Xenopus tropicalis: one gene and its partners. Each later gene encodes a partner of the first gene's protein in a complex. Links are inferred from orthologs where the notes say so. Each region holds a gene or a part of one and is shown on either strand. Other genes may lie near its edges. The genes, in order: kansl3, kansl1, phf20 and kansl2.

The links.
Region 2: kansl3 (region 1) and kansl1 share a complex: the UniProt entries of both Homo sapiens proteins name them as parts of the NSL complex. The link is inferred for Xenopus tropicalis from reciprocal best matches to the Homo sapiens genes KANSL3 and KANSL1.
Region 3: kansl3 (region 1) and phf20 share a complex: the UniProt entries of both Homo sapiens proteins name them as parts of the NSL complex. The link is inferred for Xenopus tropicalis from reciprocal best matches to the Homo sapiens genes KANSL3 and PHF20.
Region 4: kansl3 (region 1) and kansl2 share a complex: the UniProt entries of both Homo sapiens proteins name them as parts of the NSL complex. The link is inferred for Xenopus tropicalis from reciprocal best matches to the Homo sapiens genes KANSL3 and KANSL2.

Annotation. Positions count from the first base shown.
Region 1 is NC_030679.2:125,205,211-125,209,656, forward strand, and holds the start of kansl3 (KAT8 regulatory NSL complex subunit 3), read right to left. Parts: upstream 2,953-4,446; 5' UTR 2,861-2,952; exon of another isoform or gene 2,793-2,860; intron 2,780-2,792; exon of another isoform or gene 2,694-2,779; intron 1-2,693. UniProt on the Homo sapiens protein: Non-catalytic component of the NSL histone acetyltransferase complex, a multiprotein complex that mediates histone H4 acetylation at 'Lys-5'- and 'Lys-8' (H4K5ac and H4K8ac) at transcription start sites and promotes transcription initiation.
Region 2 is NC_030686.2:17,302,861-17,307,482, forward strand, and holds the start of kansl1 (KAT8 regulatory NSL complex subunit 1), read right to left. Parts: upstream 2,903-4,622; 5' UTR 2,871-2,902; intron 2,426-2,870; 5' UTR 2,288-2,425; intron 1-2,287. UniProt on the Homo sapiens protein: Non-catalytic component of the NSL histone acetyltransferase complex, a multiprotein complex that mediates histone H4 acetylation at 'Lys-5'- and 'Lys-8' (H4K5ac and H4K8ac) at transcription start sites and promotes transcription initiation.
Region 3 is NC_030686.2:42,973,457-42,978,071, reverse strand, and holds the start of phf20 (PHD finger protein 20), read right to left. Parts: upstream 2,880-4,615; 5' UTR 2,614-2,879; intron 1-2,613. UniProt on the Homo sapiens protein: Methyllysine-binding protein, component of the MOF histone acetyltransferase protein complex.
Region 4 is NC_030678.2:135,663,032-135,666,893, forward strand, and holds part of kansl2 (KAT8 regulatory NSL complex subunit 2), read right to left. Parts: intron 978-3,862; coding exon 799-977; intron 1-798. UniProt on the Homo sapiens protein: Non-catalytic component of the NSL histone acetyltransferase complex, a multiprotein complex that mediates histone H4 acetylation at 'Lys-5'- and 'Lys-8' (H4K5ac and H4K8ac) at transcription start sites and promotes transcription initiation.

The DNA of each region.
Region 1 (4,446 bases):
CTGAAGGTTGCAATGCTTTGTATAAGACCATTTCTGCTGTATATGCATACTCCCATGTATATCTCCACCAACACTAGCCTATTTATTATATCCACAATCTGTGGGTTCTGGCAAATGCCAGAGGGGCTGCTGTAAGATGCCATAGACAGTCACTATTTATTGGGCTGGTGAGGGGCTTTTTGGGCCTCTGTGTACTTGAAATACCAGGGCCTGTTTTGGGTCCTAGCCCAGACCTGTGTTACAGGGACCTTAGAGGACCCATTTCCCCCAAAAAATAGCCTGAAGCATGTCATGTGCTTCTGGCACTTAACTTCACCCATCCAATTTGTAGCTTTTCTAGATAAATATACATTTCCCAATTATATTTTAACGTGTTAAAACAAGAAGGTGCGATTAAACCTTTGTCTCAAACATACAGAAAACCCCACCTGTAAAAGCCCTTACACAAATACACACACAACTCTTAATCCTTCAGTACAATAAACAAAATTGTTATTAAAGGGATGGTAGCAAACAAGCTGGTGTTAATAAAACACAGGAAGATTAAAAGAAGAGGACCTGAATAGAAAGACAATAATAAATAATACAACTGTAGACAAAACAGGACCCCAATGAAAGCTAGACAATGTCAGAAGAGGAAAACCTGTGACACAGGATTGGTGATTTCGTCCCCCTTATCCTACACCACACGCATGCATACAGTGAGCCAACTGGGGCACACACTCATAATGAGCACGTGTGCCCCAATGTATCCACCCATACTGGGAGCTCCCTCCGGGGCAGACGGCATATTGCTCAACAAAGAACTGACTGCAAGCTCTACCAGACAGCACCACCAGTGAAGGTAGAAACTTTACTATGATAAATGCCCTTTAATTTAAAGGTAAACTACTTACCCCTTCACATCAGCTTGAACATGAATACTGACAAAGTTGTGTTGATAAATACGTAAGATAATATTTAAATATTTGTACAATCAGAAAAAAAATTCTTATGGTCTTCCCTGCTAACTATACACATTAAGATCTGGACTTTTGCCAAACGATTCTATTGTTGCCCAATTTGACCACCTACGTTCTGGGCCAAATTGGGCTGATCCAATTGTTTAGTCTCTGGGCTAATGAATGGATCATAATAGGTGCCTATAGTGTCAGGAGAAGACCGCATGAACACACCAATGCCAGCCCCTGCCTGCCAATATTTTCAAACCTGCTTGATAAGTATCTGCCCAATTTTCATCAGGTAATCAGCCAGGGTGGGCCCATAAACAGGCAGGTAAGATGCTTAAAGGAACAGTAACATCAAAAAATTTAAGTGTTTTAAAGGAGAAGGAAAGGCTAAGTCACTTGGGGGTGCCAAAATGTTAGGCACCCCCAAGTGACTTAGAGCGCCTACCTTGTACCCCAGGCTGGTGCCCCTGTACGGAGGGAACAGCACCAGCCCGGGGCACCTGTAGACACCGCTTCCTCCTTCCTTTGCGCGCTGCCGGCGAAATCCGCCGGCCGGCGCATGCGCAGTAGAGTGAAAAGCCGACTTTAATGTTTAAGTTCGGCTTTTCACTCTACTGCGCATGCGCGCGCAGCGAGGAGGAAGGAGGAAGCGCCGGCAGCTACCCCGGGCTGGTGCTGTTCTCTCCGTACAGGGGCACCAGCCCGGGGTACAAGGTAGGCGTTCTAAGTCACTTGGGGGTGCCTAACATTTTGGCACCCCCAAGTGACTTAGCCTTTCCTTCTCCTTTAAAGTAATTAAAATATAATGTACTGCTGCCCAGCAAAAAAATGGTGTTTTTTGCTACAGAAAAGCTACTATATAAATAAGCTGCTGTGTAGCCATGGGGGCAGCCATTCAAGCTGGAAAAAAGGAGAAAAGGCACAGGTTACATAGCAGATAACTAGTAGATAAGCCCCATATAATGAGGGTTTATCTGTTATCTGCTAAGTAACCTGTGCCTTTTCTCCTTTGAATGGCTGCCCCCATGGCTACACAGCAGCTTACTTATATAAACTATAGTAGTCTTTCTGAGGCAAACACACCAGTTGTAGCAATGCAGGGCAACAGTACATTATATTGTAATTACTTTTATACACTTTCATTTTTTGGTGTTACTGTTCCTTTAAGGGCAAGGACACACAGAGCTACTCAGTAGCAGTTACTTGTTACAGCTACTAATCACCAAAAAAATACCCTGTAAAAGATCAGCACTGTCTAGTTCTGTAGCCATGACAAGTAGCTGCTACTAGTAGCCGTGTGTCTTCACCCTAAATCTGCCCATGTCATGACGTGATGTCAGAAAATGAGGCAACAATACAATGGGAAAATACAAACCTACTAATTAAGCTCCCTCTTACATTATGAATATGACAGAAAGTGTCACTGGGGACAAATGTGCACTGAGGGGGCCCCAGGATGGTTGGGCAACCAACATGCAGGGCAAAATGTCATGGAGTTCATAGGCAATGCAACACTCTGCATCAGCACAGCTATCATTACTAACATGGATGTATAAGGTGGCAAGCTCTGTACAACAGCAGAGTGAATACACCATACATTCAAACACAGGAGGTAAAGAGGGCCCTGATCCTGAGAGCTAACTATCTATAGGAGATGCAGAGAGCTGCAGATAAACAAAAGGCGGAAGGCTACAACTTGTACATCCCTGATGTGTACAGGACACACATCTATTATATGATTACTTGTTTCCACGGTGACGCCCCTAAAATTGTGAGGGGCCGAGGCGTATGCTCTCCGCACCCTAAGCCCTGTGCGAGCTGAAGTACGGCTGTGTAACATACATGCATACCGCCCAACAGTGCCGCTTCACACAACCCGCAGCCCGGATCGCTGCTAAAACGCTCCGCACCTCAGCCTCTGCCGAACAGCGAATCCCGACATCTCAAGTCTCATCTCGCGAGACGTCACGAACTCACGTAATAACGCAGTGACGCGTACGTAGGAGCCTTGCGTGAGAGAGTGCCGCAATACGTAGGAGCCTTGCGTGAGTGAGTGACGCGAATGGGTGGAGCGCTTCAGTGTACAAGTTAGTAAGAGGTGGTAGCCATTTAGGGTCAGCTGCTGTTGACTGTGAGGGTTGTATCTTTGCTTGCGGCCTCGGTTTTTGTAAAGGAACATGAAAAAGACTTTTCGAGTTGGTTGTCTTGTTTGACGGCAGGCGATAGCGCCTCTGTTCCTGAAATGTAGCTGCGACTATGCAGTTGTGTCTCAGCCCACTGTTGAAGGGGTCGTTGACCTTTGAGTTAACTATGGATCGGAGAGTCATATTCACACAATGTACAATTGGTCTTCATTTTTTATTATTTGTAGTTTTTAAGTTATTTCATTTTCAGTTCAGGAGCTCACCAGTTTGGAATTGTAAGCAGTTATTTGGTTGCTAGGGTCCATGTTAACGTAGCAACCAGGGGGTGGTTTGGATGAGAGACTGATATATGAATAGGAGAGGCTGCCGGGGTCAGTGTCCTCTATTTGAAAGCTGCAAAGGCAAATATATTAAAAACTATTACAAATAAATAACGAAGACCAACGAAAAGTTACTTAGAATAGGTGATTATATAACATGCTAAAAGTTAACCACCCCTTTAATTGTGTTGGGGAACAAAAATCCGACTTTGTTTTATTCTTGATGAGTGTGGGTAATAGCCCAATAACTACTGCTGCTGGAGCAGCTGTGCCCAACATTGTATCAAGTCATATATATCTGCACAAGAAGGTTATCACTTTTTCTAGTTGTTTGCAGTCTCTGCACTCAATGTTTAACGAAAAGTAAAATTAATTTTGTTATCTGCAGAAAGTACTGACTTGTGACTGGAAACAAAAAGTTTTTTTTTCCTAGTTGTGAATGATACAACCCTCAGCCTCTTGCTCATGGTGCCTTTGGACCAAGCCCCAACTGGGAACTACACTTTTGTCCTGGTTGCCAACAATATCTGCTGCAACCAGCACATCTGATCCCTATTTGGCTAAAAAGGAAACATATTTGTGAAAAAATATATACTACAGTATATAGTATATTTAAATACTTATTTACAGTGGGACTTCTGCTCAGCACATGGCCTAGGTTGGTCAGGGCATTAAGAGATTCCCAGATTTCATTCCATTGATCTCTTTCATGGGGGAATGCTTTGTAAATATATCTGATAAATAATGGTATTCTAAGGCAGTGATCCCCAACCATTCGCTCGGGGGCAACATGTTGCTCACCAACCCCTTGGATGTTGCTCTCAGTGCCCCCAAACCAGGGAGTTATTTTTGAATTCCTGACTTGGGGGCAAGTTTCGGTTAAATAAAAACAAGATTCACTAGCAAATAAAGCCCCCTGTAAGCTGATAGTGTGCATAGAGGCCCCTAATAGCCAATTACAGCCCTTATTTGGCACCTCCGTGAACTTTTATGGTGCTTGTGTTGCACTCCAAGTCTTTTTACATTTGACTG
Region 2 (4,622 bases), on another chromosome or scaffold:
GACAAGTGCTATAGTAAGTGCTATGAATAAGACCAGGGGGCTGCAATAATAAACACTAGTTCATTAATATAACAAATTGTACTTCTGTTTATAATAAATTGTTTGTAATAAATTGAAGTTATCTCAAGGAGTCTCAAGTAAATTAAATAGACCTTGAGAGGGTTGTCTTTCTTACATCTAAATTTTATTATTGTTTGCTTCCTACTGTCACACCTCTCCTTCTAATCCTGACCACTGTCCTACATTAGGGGTAGAGTGCTTCTGCCACTGTGACACGACTACAACTCTCAACATGCATTGCAAGCTCAGCTAATTGTTACATTTTGAGATCTGCAATTACAGAATAGCTGGATCACTGACACTTACAAATTCTTGCCCATAATAAAATTCCTCTCCTAATTCATAAATCATCCTCCTCATCCTCCATAATTTTTAGATTCCCTAGGTAATGACCCACTTCATATTCCCTGATAACCAATCCTCTTGTCCTCACATGTGTTGTGGGATTATTATGCATGAAACTGAGACTGTATTATATTACATTTTTTCTGGAGGCATTATATATATGGATTTGGCATGTGTTCTGGGGGCTAAATATATGGATCTGGCATGTGTTTTGGGGGCATTATATATGGAACAGGCATAAGTTCTGAGGGCATTATAAATGGAATTGGCAATGCATTTATCCTACTATGTTTCTGTGATATTTTATGTGAAACAGACATTACAGGTAATCCTGCAAGGTAATCTAAGATGTATTTTAAATTAAATTTCCACAGCATTTTTGTTGCTATGTGTTCTGGGGTATTACACATGGAATTGGCTGTGGGATATCATGAAAGAAGCTGGCAACTGAATTAAAAAAATAAAAAGGGAACAAAGAAAAGCATAATTGCAGAGGAAATAGGATAATTAAAGGTAGAATGGCCAGGTGCTGCCCCATATTTTTTTAATAGTATATGGACTACGTTTTTAAAATTACATGCTCCTCACAAATTAAGCAGGCTGCAGAGGCAGACCAAGCTCTAATGTTAAAGCAGCTGGGAGAAGCATCTAGTAAAAGGCCCCAGGGCATTACCATTTCCAGTGATAGGCTGTGTTGTCAATGATCCCTATCGACTATGGTCAGCAATGAGGACTCCCACACTCACAAATGGTAACAGTGAGGAACAGGGTCTAAGGGATGTTTCTTGTAATATTCAACCATCTGGCTTTACCCATAGACCATCCCTACCATGGATTTTCCAAGACATGAACCACTAACCCTGACTGCTATCTCACCATCCCCTAACTAATCCACTTGTCTGATGTGACCCATGTCCTATGAGCAGGCCCGGACTCGCAGTCTACAGATTCTGGCAAATGCCAGAGGGGCTGGTATAAGATGCCATAGACCACGTGTCAAACACAAGGCATGCGGCCTGAACTGCTGTTATTTTCAAAACATAATTAATGCACGAAGATGGCGTGTGATATGGTGTTTCAGGGTGAGGAAGGATCTATCCTTTAGTAAGATTAAGTATCTTAATAAAAAATTCAGCCCGCAGCTTAGCCTGTGTTTTAGATTTTGGCCCCCTTATGTGATTGAGTTTGACACCCCTGCCATAGACAGTCACTATTTATTGGGATTTTTTGGCCTCTCTGTACATGATATGCCATGGCCTATTTTATATCCCATTCCAGACCTCCTTATGAGAAGTCGAGATAAATAAGTTCATCCAGACCCCAAGAAAGAAAAGAGCAATGCTGGTGAGCTGTAAGGCAAGGAGCAGCATTAGTAAGGCAAAGCTGTGGGTCGTGTTTACTTCAAGAAAGTTACTGTTCCCTTCAGCCATGGGCACCCAGTCTGGATGTGCAGCCTTAGCAATGTGCACTGGATTGCTACCCATTTCTTTTCCCACTACAGATATTTAGGCTAATGGCACAGGACAAGGATTCTGTGTGCCACTGCCTTCCAGTGGAAAAGTGACAGAGGGTAACAAAATGCCTGCCATCTCGCCTACCTCCGTCAGAGGTCCATGGCCTCACATTTGCTTGCACATTTTAATACCGGACATCCGCTATCATCATTTAGAGGCACACTGTATGCTGCTTAGAAGTCATTGCAGTTTGCATTAAAATTATCACTAATTATATAAGATTTATATGTGTTTCATTTCATTTTTATGGTTACCACTCTTTTACTGTAACCCCAGAATAAATGGAGATAAAGGAATTTCTGTAGGACCTGTCCTGTCCTTTCAGTGCTATTAAAGACTCACATTATAAAAGCATGGCGCTTACTCACCATATTATCAGACTGTACCGATTTTCATTTGATCCATGGATCCTTGTTGCCTCATCCCGGCTGTTCCTCGGAGGCATCCTTGTAGCATTGTCTGCCAAAGGCCAGTTTGGGGGGTTCCTCTGCATCATCCATTGATATCTAGGATCACAAATAGTCATATTTTTTCACTCACGCTATCTGATTTAGTTTTTTTTTTTTTTTATTTTGTGGAAATTTTTAATAGGGTGGACTCTGGTAGACAGTGGTATTTGTATGTTCTCCCCTGTATGTATTTAGTATGAGTGAACATATATAGTATAAGTAGTGTCTGCCCTGCATGTGTGGCACAGTGTGGTAGTGTGCACTGGGGCTGTGCTCCCCCCACAGCTGATCCTATAAAGTTCCAGTATCTAGTGTATCTGGCCTGCTGACTGCTAGAGAATACTGGAGAATTCCTCACAGCCCCCTTCATCCCCAACTCTTGCAATGGGCTGTTCCATCTCTGCCCAGCCTCCTCTGGATGCCCAGGGGTGCTCTACCCCCACTCCCACTGCCACCTGGTGCATGAACCCCACACCCCAAGCACCCCTCAGTTTGCACCTACCTGCACAGCTCAACCAGTACTGCTGGCTCCGGTGCCACCCTTTACCCTCCCTTGCAAGCTCCGGATTGGTGAAGGTCCGGAGGAGCTTCGCGCGATTGGTTAATGAGTTGTCCGTCAAGCTGTAAGGGGCGAGGCCCTGTGCGATTACTGTGTCCCTACTGTGTGTCTGGTTGCAGGATATGAATAAGGGGGAGGGGGGCTTTAATGGGACATGGGGAGACCGCTAAAATAGGGACACTTTGCACCATGAGCGCTGAATTAATTGTTTATAAATCTGCAGAGAAGTGACGAGGGAGGGATACTCTATATCCAAAGCTGGAAAGTGGGTTATGGTTTTGGGGGGGCCATGAACCATATCTTTATGTAAAAATTTCCATCCACAAAGAGACTTCAATGCGCAAGAATGTGGGGTCTGTCACACAGCGTCCCAGTTATTCCTAAACTACAGCTCCCAGCATCCTCTGAGAGGAATTGAAGAGCACAAGTGTAATGCCACCATAAGCTCAATGTATGGCAGTTACCAGGAGTAACTTGGTTACCCCCACACCCCATTACTAGTAAATCTCACACTGGCCTGAAGGCTTATATAGCTCAACAAAAGCTTTTGGGACACATATTGGCTATCCCTAGCCTAAAATCTGAAGACAATTTGTTGCCCATGAAATAACATGTGGAAATCACTTCCTGATATCTATGCCACAGATAAAAGCAGAATTTCTTGTACCAAAGCACAGCAGTGACACAAGTGCATATTTATTAAATTTTACCTTTTAGTAGCATATTTGAAATATTTTCCCCTTATAAATATGTCCTTATATAATATACCCCACTATTTGGCTGCCTTAGGTGCCAGAGCCTGTCTGTCCTGTGCTGACTTCACCTCACTTCCATGGTTCAGTCTGTCTCAGTGTTAGGCTTGCAGAAAGGGCATAAGTATAACTAAATGTCACTAGGTTACCCCCCCCCCCCCCATAACTTGAGGTACTTTTCTCCAATATATATTTAAACTGAACATCAGCTAAGCATTTCTGAGCTGGCCTTAAGGCAGCTTACTGGCCCATGTATGTGGCATCCCTGACCAGTGTTGGACTGGCCCACCAGGATACCAGGAAAACTCCCGGTGGGCCCAGGCGTCAGTGGGCCCTCCTGCTCCTGACCATTTGGCCTACTTCATGGTCATTCCCAATTTCTGAATAGGAACAAAGAGGAAAAATAGATGGAAGGATAGATGCTAGCATGTAAATAAAAGAAACTTGGAGAATAAAGTGGTTGAGTGAGGAAAGGAGGAAAAATAGTTTGGAGAGTGAGCCCAAGGTTTTCCGGTGGGCCCCTCTAGGGCAAAAATCAGATCAGCACTATTTGGCCCAACATGGTCAAATTGGGTCTAGATCCCATCATTTGCTGACTTCACCAAACTAGCAGATTTAGCAGTGGTTGCAGTGGCGTAACTATAGAGGAAGCAGAACCCGCAGTTGCGGGGGAGCCCAGGGAACAGGGTCCGGGCCCGGATTGTGGGGTCTGAAAATGTGTGTGCTCGCTCAGGGGTGTATTTAGGTCCAGTGTTGTCCTAGGCACTGGACCTAAATAGTACCCTTCATTGTGCATGTGACGTCAACTGCACCAATGTGGCGGCAGTGTGTGCGTGACATCACTTTTGCAGAACCCAGATGCCCTCAGATGCCTTATTATAAATACACCACTGCACTCGGTATAGATGTGCAGCAAGCAGACGCACACATGCAAATGAACATG
Region 3 (4,615 bases), on another chromosome or scaffold:
GCCTAAACGATTTAATTAGAACGGTGGGTATAGGCAGACTGAAAAATAAAACCCACCCGATCGAGATCTGGCTGATCTCTGGCAAGCCGTCCGTGCCCATACACAGGCCGATAAGCTGCCGGAATGGGTTCGTGTATACCCACCTTTATACATGGGGTTGGGTTGACAGATGTATGTGCAGGGATACTGGTCACAGACAGCAGCTAAACAAAAAATATATCAATAAAGCACACCTAGACTCAAATTGTATCTAGTAATGTTCCAAGATATTTGCACAGGCCTAGGGTCTGATTGTGTGTGGAAGGTGAACTGCATCTATAAGAACGTCTGCACAAAAGACTCATAGGAGATTAAGGAGACGCATGTGACCCGGGTGACACATGTGAGATTACAATCACTGTTGTGTTTGTCAAAAAAGGAACATCACTTTAAATTCTACTGTAACTTTAAAAGGGCTGGAAAATATCCGTTTAGCCATATTTTTATCTATACTGTGAGTTTTCTGACCCATTTCCAGTAGTTATTTTTTCTCTCGGACAGTGACATCAATAACGTAAAATAAAGAACAAAACCATTCAAACCACAGATTTAAGGGCGTAAAAAGAATAAAGTCTGCCTTTCCTTATGGTAAATATCTAATAGAGCAGAACCACGTGTGCATATAAACTACACAAGCAAAATACCTACTATTATTTAAAGCAATAACTCCTTTTCACTTCTGCAACCCATTACAGACCCCGCAGGGTTTCAGCACCCAAAGCCAGACAACCTCTTGCCCCAAGGGCTCTCTTCACCTCTTGTATCGGTTATTGATTGCTTTATATGTTGCTCTGTATGTCCAATGTATGTAACCCACTTATTGTACAGCGCTGCGGGATATGTTGGCGCTTTATAAATAAATGTTAATAATAATTATAAATACTCCTCAAACCCACTAAAAACACCACAATTCTTCCTATAACCTGCCCTTGGGGTATGTACAATTTGCAGCTCCCCGGATCTTGCTAAGACACAGCCTTGATTCAAACCTTCTAAAATCCCCAGCATCCCAACAGCAAAAGGTCATTGGTGCTGAACTGCAGTTGTGTCTCTGTTGCTGAACTATAACTACCTAACAGTCACTGATGCTGTGAGTTACATAGTTACATAGGGTTGAAAAAAGACCAGTGTCCATCAAGTTCAACCCATCCAAGTAAACCCAGCACACCCAACCCACACCTACCAATCTATACACTCACATAAACTGTTGAAGTTCAACCACAGCTGGTGCATCTTTACTTTATTGCTATCATGTTGAGCTGTTAAACCAAGCTTTATATTGGGATTGTTCAATATCTACTACATTGGTTATTGCCCCACTGAAGTTCCTTGAGGTCAATTCCCTTGCAAGCCAATTAACCTGTGTGTTACTACTGAGCGCAGCAGAAAACCTACAGACGTAGGTAAATCATACAGACTCCTAGCAGGTTGGTTCCTGCAGGAATGGAAATCTAGACCCCAGGGCTCCAGCCCCCCAGTCACAGCATATTCCCTGTCTCAGAAAAGAGATGACTAACATTGTTATAATGGACTTTTTCTTAGCCGTCCTCATCCAAGTTCTGCTCTACGGACAGCGGTTTGGCTGCCCCTATCTGTACCCCCCTACAGACAGCTGTGCGTGGCCCAGATTGGCTGCGCATCCTCTGGGTGGGTTTGAATCCTGGAAATGACCGATGTTTACAAAGTTCACCAACAGGTTGCGTCACACAGCCACACAACATGGCTCGGCTTCCCCTGCCCACTGATTTGTATTCAGTGCAGCAAAATCCCATAAGCACTGATTTAAAGGGACAGTTTTATATAGGAGTAGCATTTACCATCAAGGGGCCAGATATGTTAACCCTTCACATAGTAGGAAGGCTGGGACCCCATCCTATGGGTAAGAGGGAGTAATAGAGTTCTGGGATAGCCACCATGTGATCCTACAACTAGATGAACTGCAACTCCCAGCACTCCAACTAAGCCAGGCTGTTTGAAGAATAATGAGATGATACAAAATATATATTAAAACGTTGCTGAATTGCACTGTACCTATATCCAACAATTTCAATAAATTCGTATTTTTCCCCCAGATGGGGTCCCCCTGAAAAGCTGGGGATCCTAGGCACCCTAAAGCCCTGGTCATTCCATCTTCTTTATATAAGATAACGGAAGACCGTATCTCCACATGGCACAACGTTTCGACCGCGTTTCCTTTAGACAGCAGCGTCTTTTAAAGGGACTTCAGAAAGCATGGCAAGTACCGCCCCTCCGCGCTCATTGGTTCAAGCAGCCGTCTGTCAAGCTATTCTACGCACGTAATTGGTTCCCTTACCGCTCCATCATTATCAGGCAGGGAAAAGACCGGCCGCTGCAGGCCTGCCTTCCCCACTCAGCAACCTTTCTCTTCACCCCCAAAACCTTAAAAAAATACATAAAGTAATGGCGGAGAGTCCCGGAGGCGCCCCCCCACCTGCATCACAAGTACAGGGAATGAGCGCCCCGCCCATGTGACCATTGTTCTACCCAGCAACCGGCAGCCCCAGCATCCCGCCCCTGTCAGCAGCAGCAGCAGCAGGATAGAGCACGCAGTACCTGAGCTCTGTCACTCCTTGGCTTCTCTTCGCTTTTCCTTAGTAATTTCCCTCCGACTTTCAACCTTTCCACCTCCCGGTGTGTCAGTGAGCTCTTCCAGTCACATATAAATCATTATCCTCCCTCACAAGAACAGGCACCACCACCGCCTCCTTCTTTTTTCACACTGCGCGGCATGGCAAGGCGCGCCCCCGCCCCATAACACTTAATGACACGGACGCGCACCTACAGAAGAGAAGGGGACGGCTGTACAACGGGGCGCGTACCCGCGTTCTGGGCGGGGAATTCGATTTTCCCCGCCCGCCCCGCCAGGAAAATAGCGGGGCAGGGATTGGTCAGCGCGGTCAGCTGATGAATGAGTTTGGCGCGGTTTTTCTGTGCGCTCCGCCCCAGACCTTCCTGAGAAAGAATTGGCTGTGGCGCATGAGGGAAGTGATGTGCTGACTCACTGTAAACTTTGTGACAGGCGCAATGTCTGAAGGAACAAGAAAAATGCGTGGATATGATTTAGTCTGGGTTGTGTTTTAGGTGTGAGCACGTCATGGCCACCCAGTAGCAAAGGCCTCTAGCAGAAAGGCTATTTACTGTGTGACAATTGTTAGGTGCTTTGCTGGTTACGTCAGTCACGACCAACCAATGGCCCTCCAGCTGTTATACTGCACCTTACCAGCCCACAGCCTTACAATAAATCCTGGCATGCAGGTGCTGAGTCTCACCAGGTGCTTTATTTTGTATTTTACTTTTAATTTGATTGGGGGTGTGAATTAAGAATTAGAAAAGGATTTGGGTTTTCAGGCCCAGACTGGCAATCTGTGGGTTCAGGCAAATGCCAGAGGGGCTGCTGTAAGGTGCCATAGACAGTCACTATTTATTGGGCTGGGGGGGCTGTTTGGGCCTCTGGGTACTTGGAATGCCAGGACCCAGGCCCAGACTGGCAATCTGTGGGTTCAGGCAAATGCCAGAGGGGCTGCTGTAAGATGCCATAGACAGTCACTATTTATTGGGCTGGGGGGGGGGCTGTTTGGGCCTCTGGGTACTGGGAATGCCAGGACCCAGGCCCAGACTGGCAATCTGTGGGTTCAGGCAAATGCCAGAGGGGCTGCTGTAAGATGCCATAGTCACTCACTATTTATTGGGCTGGGGGGGCTGTTTGGGCCTCTGGGTACTGGGAATGCCAGGACCCAGGCCCAGACTGGCAATCTGTGGGTTCAGGCAAATGCCAGAGGGGTTGCTGTAAGATGCCATAGACAGTCACTATTTATTGGGCTGGGGGAGGGGGGGATGTTTGGGCCTCTGGGTACTTGGAATGCCAGGACCCAGGCCCAGACTGGCAATCTGTGGGTTCAGGCAAATGCCAGAGGGGCTGCTGTAAGGTGCCACAGCCAGTCACTATTTATTGGGCTGGGGGGGCTGTTTGGGCCTCTGGGTACTTGGAATGCCAGGGCCCAGGCCCAGACTGGCAATCTGTGGGTTCAGGCAAATGCCAGAGGGGCTGCTGTAAGATGCCACAGACAGTCACTATTTATTGGGCTGGGGGGGCTGTTTGGGCCTCTGGGTACTTGGAATGCCAGGGCCCAGGCCCAGACTGGCAATCTGTGGGTTCAGGCAAATGCCAGAGGGGTTGCTGTAAGGTGCCATAGACAGTCACTATTGGGCTGGGGGGGGGGCTGTTTGGGTCTCTGAGCTGGGGTTTAACTACAGAGGAACAGGGGGGTGGGGCAGGAGTGTAGAGGGCTCAGTGAGGTCCTAATTAGTGGGCAATTTCAACATTTCTTGATAGAATATTTCAACTGTCTAGTATTTTGGGGCCCTAAATTTAAGTTGCTGTGGGGTACCTCTGAGTAACTAAAATGCCAGGGCCTATTTTAAATCACAGTCCAGACCTGGGTAGGGCCCTCCATGTTACCAGCAGTGGCAAAGTCTTATTAAACCAAAATTTGTCTCTTGTGGTGCAGAGAGATGTAGCCCCCCCCCCCCACACTTTGACCTGGGGCAGACTGTA
Region 4 (3,862 bases), on another chromosome or scaffold:
GACACTGATTACAGCTATTTAGGGAACCATAGGGGAAATGAGATACAAAGATTAGTCGTCCACAATAAATCTCCTCTACCGCATCATATTTGCCTAAAATCAATACACAACTTTATACATGCATGTAGTCTTATACTGCAGCGTTTAAGGTGCTTTGGTTTATTTAAAGGGATAGTGTCATGATTTTGATGGTATACTTTTTTTTTTTTTTTCTAAATTACTCTGTTTATATTGAAAATAATTCACTACCATTTAAAATTTTATTCTTGAACCAACAAATGTAATTTTGTTTAGTCGTAATATTAGTGTGTAGGTGCCATCTCAGTGCATTGTGTCCGAGTCTGTGCTTTTAGAAGGAGCCAGTGCTATACATCAGAACTGCTTTCAAGTAACCTATTGTCTCTCCAACTCCCATGGAACTGGAGGAGTCCCAAGACGGACTTGGATTTCTAGCTATTGAGTGCTATTCTGATTTCTACTGGGAGCTGCTATCTTGCTCCCTTCCCATTGTTCTGCTGATTGGCTGCTGGGAGGAGGAAGATATCACTCCAAGAGAATCCGCCCCGTGTGGCACTAGCCTACAGGGCAGTGGTTGCCTATGCACATGGGCTGCCCACAGTCTACATTTTCATTAAATAATAGTAGAAATAAGACATCCTTTAAATCAGTTACAAAACATTTTGGTAACTCAGCTTTCTTATTCATATTAACTTCACTATGTTATTAAAAAAAACAGCAGTGATGAGTATAGAAGAAAAAACAAAGCAAAAAAAAAATAACACACAAATGTGAACACACCAAGAATCCTGCAGGCTTCACTTCTGCTGCTTTCCTGTATCTGAGAGCCCAGCTCACTCCGGGCATATGTATTCAGCTGATACAACAGAGACTCACTAGTCGGTCCTGGGTTTGATTTCTTTATTTGAGCTTGGAGTGCTAATGCATTCCGACGCGCATGCTCTGCACAGAATGAAACCCTGCCAATATTGTAGAACAAGAAATTACTAATTATAAAAGTACATATTACATATCATAACACAAAAACTAACAAAACATAAAATATTCATTTTTGAAGCATTTATTTTGATAAAAAGCAGTATACCCCCTTGTTTAATGTGAATGCAATAAATATTGTTTGTGCTGATCATACTTTGTCTCTTGATTTAATCATGAGCAATCAATGTTTTGTTTTATTTCCTGAGCTAAACAGGAAAAACAGGGAAACAAAAGCTACTCATGATTGAGCTTTGCAAAGCAGATTAGATTCCCAGTGCCCAGACACCCACTCAGCATGTTATCTGTGCACTGGTAATATAATTATCCACCTTTAAAAAACCAAACACACAGTGTCTTCAGTTTTCCCTGTTTGACCTCTTAAAAGAAAAATAACACTAAAATTTAAGTAAAAAAAATGTATTCTACCCTGCCCCAATAATTGCCCTATCCTGCAAACCACTTAGTATTTTGAATGCTTTATTAGAAAATACCTGCTAAAACTTCCGGTCATTTGAAATAAGGCAATACGGCGAAGGAAGGAGCAGCATCCACTATGCAATGATCAATTGATCTAGCCTAGCCTTTCTTCTGTACTAGGCTTGCTCAATCGATCGTCGCATAGTGGATGCTGCTCCTTCCTTCGCCATATCACCTTATTTCAAATGACCGAAAGCCAAGTTTTAGCAGGTATTTTCTAACAAAGCATTCAAAATACTAAGTGGTTTGCAGGATAGGGCAATTATTGGAGCAGGTAGAACAGATTTTTTTACTTAAAAAAAATGTTAGTGTTACTTTTCCTTTAAGCTCCAACATAGTACTGTAAGTTAAGGGTTCAAGAAGCTAGAAATCAAGGAAGTCAAGTGGACAAGAGACAATATAGACAGTCTTAAGGTGGCCATATACCTTCAGATCCGCTCACTTTCGCCAAGCCAAGCGAGCGGATCTTCTACCGATATCCCCCACCTACGGGTGGGCGATATCAGGCGAATCCAGGCTAATTCGGTCGTGGGGCCAAACTTACAAATTAGAATAACAGGTATAGGCGAAGTCAAATCGATGCGGTCCCCGATCTGACTACATTTTTTAACCTGCCTGATTGATATCTGAATGATTTCAGGCTAGATGTCGGTCGGGCAGGCCCCTCGTTTGTGCCCCTACACGGGTCTAAGGGACCGATATCGGCAGCTACAATCGGCCCATGTATGGCCACCTTTAGGCTAATGCCCCACGGAGAGATTAGTCACCGCAACAAATCTTTGCTGCCACAGGCGACTATTTACCCCAAAATACCCTTCCAAAGTGAACCACTGGTATAAAGGCATACGCGTCACTTTGTTTTAAGAAAGTTGCACAAAAATTTCCTCCTGCAGGCAACTTTGAAAAACAAAGCACTGCTTATACCTTCCCACAGGCAATTCAAATGTTGCCGCTCGAAAGGCATTTCGGAGATAAGTTATCTGCTGTAGCAGAAATTCATTGCAATGGCATGGCAGTTAATCTCTCTGTGGGGCATTAGCCTTAAATCTCTATTCTTGTGGGAGGTGAACCTGGCAGGGGTTTGTTGTGGGAGTTTGTTAGCAGTTGGAAATAGCTATTAAATGGTCCCAAAGGTGTGTAATTATGTACTGGGGTTGCTCTGCTATCCACAGGGGAGGAGGAGGCATATGGACTTTAAGGGTATATCTTAATATGACATAATTCTTTCACATATGAATGATGGTTGATATCCCCACAGTAAGGACCAAGCATTTGGGATTTTGGTGTGGTTTGAAGTGGGTGTGGTTTCAAAAAGGGGAGTGGTCAAAACTGGCTTCCATTAGCGGCCCTCCACCATGTATGCTAGAGAAATTCCGGCCCTCGGCACCGTAGAAGTTGGACAGCACTGCTCTAGGTAATCTGTGTAAAAGGGAATGTAGTAACATGCGCATGTCATCTGGATCTAAAGGCCACCACTATATAATAAACATTTAGAAGGCAAATATACAGATCAATCCCATTAGCTTTCAGGACTATTTCTCTATAACTTTAAAAAAAAATTTCCAGTAGGCGGTGCTGCTCATTTGGTTTCTAGAGAATGCCTCAACTAAAAATATAATATATGGCAACTGCTGCTAGGCGTTCTATTGACCAGACTCCAATACTAAAAAAAATGCTTCGCCAGGGACCTTTTTCCTGACCTAATACAGTTTCTTTATTAGAGTGGAGTTGCTTTGCCTGATTGGAGAGAGTATCACCTTGCATTTAGGCTGTAGCATATTTCAATCCATTCACAGCAATAAAGGTTCTGGGCCAGTAGCCCGGAGAATCAGCCCCTACTCTGGTACCAGCCTGCTACCTTGCCTGCACCTCAGGCAGATGTGGCGGATATCAGCCAAAAAATGTTTTTCGCATTTCCAGCCAATATCCAGTGCATCAGCAAGGTAGAAAGCTGGTGCCTGTGTAGGGGCTGATACTCAGCATGTGTTTTTCCACAGGCCAAGAATCAGCCCCATGTGGCACAAGCCTGACCCTCTCAAAGGGTATATATCATTAACAACAAGTATTTTCCAGTGAATATTGAAACACTGCTATTTAAGTACTAAAGTCCATCTTTTTGGGTCATAAAGCACTGTGCTCACACACAAGCCATGGGCAAGCATGTACACAGGTATAGGACCAGTTATCCAAAATGCTCAGGACCAAGGGTATTCCGGATAAGGGGCCTTTCCGTAATTTGGATCTACATACCTTAAGTCTAAAAAAATAAAAATCAATGAAACATTATTTAAACCCAATAGAATTATTTTGCATGAGGATTATTTATATCTTAGTTGGGATTGATTACAAGATACAGTTTTATTATTACAGAGAAAAAGGAAATCAGTTT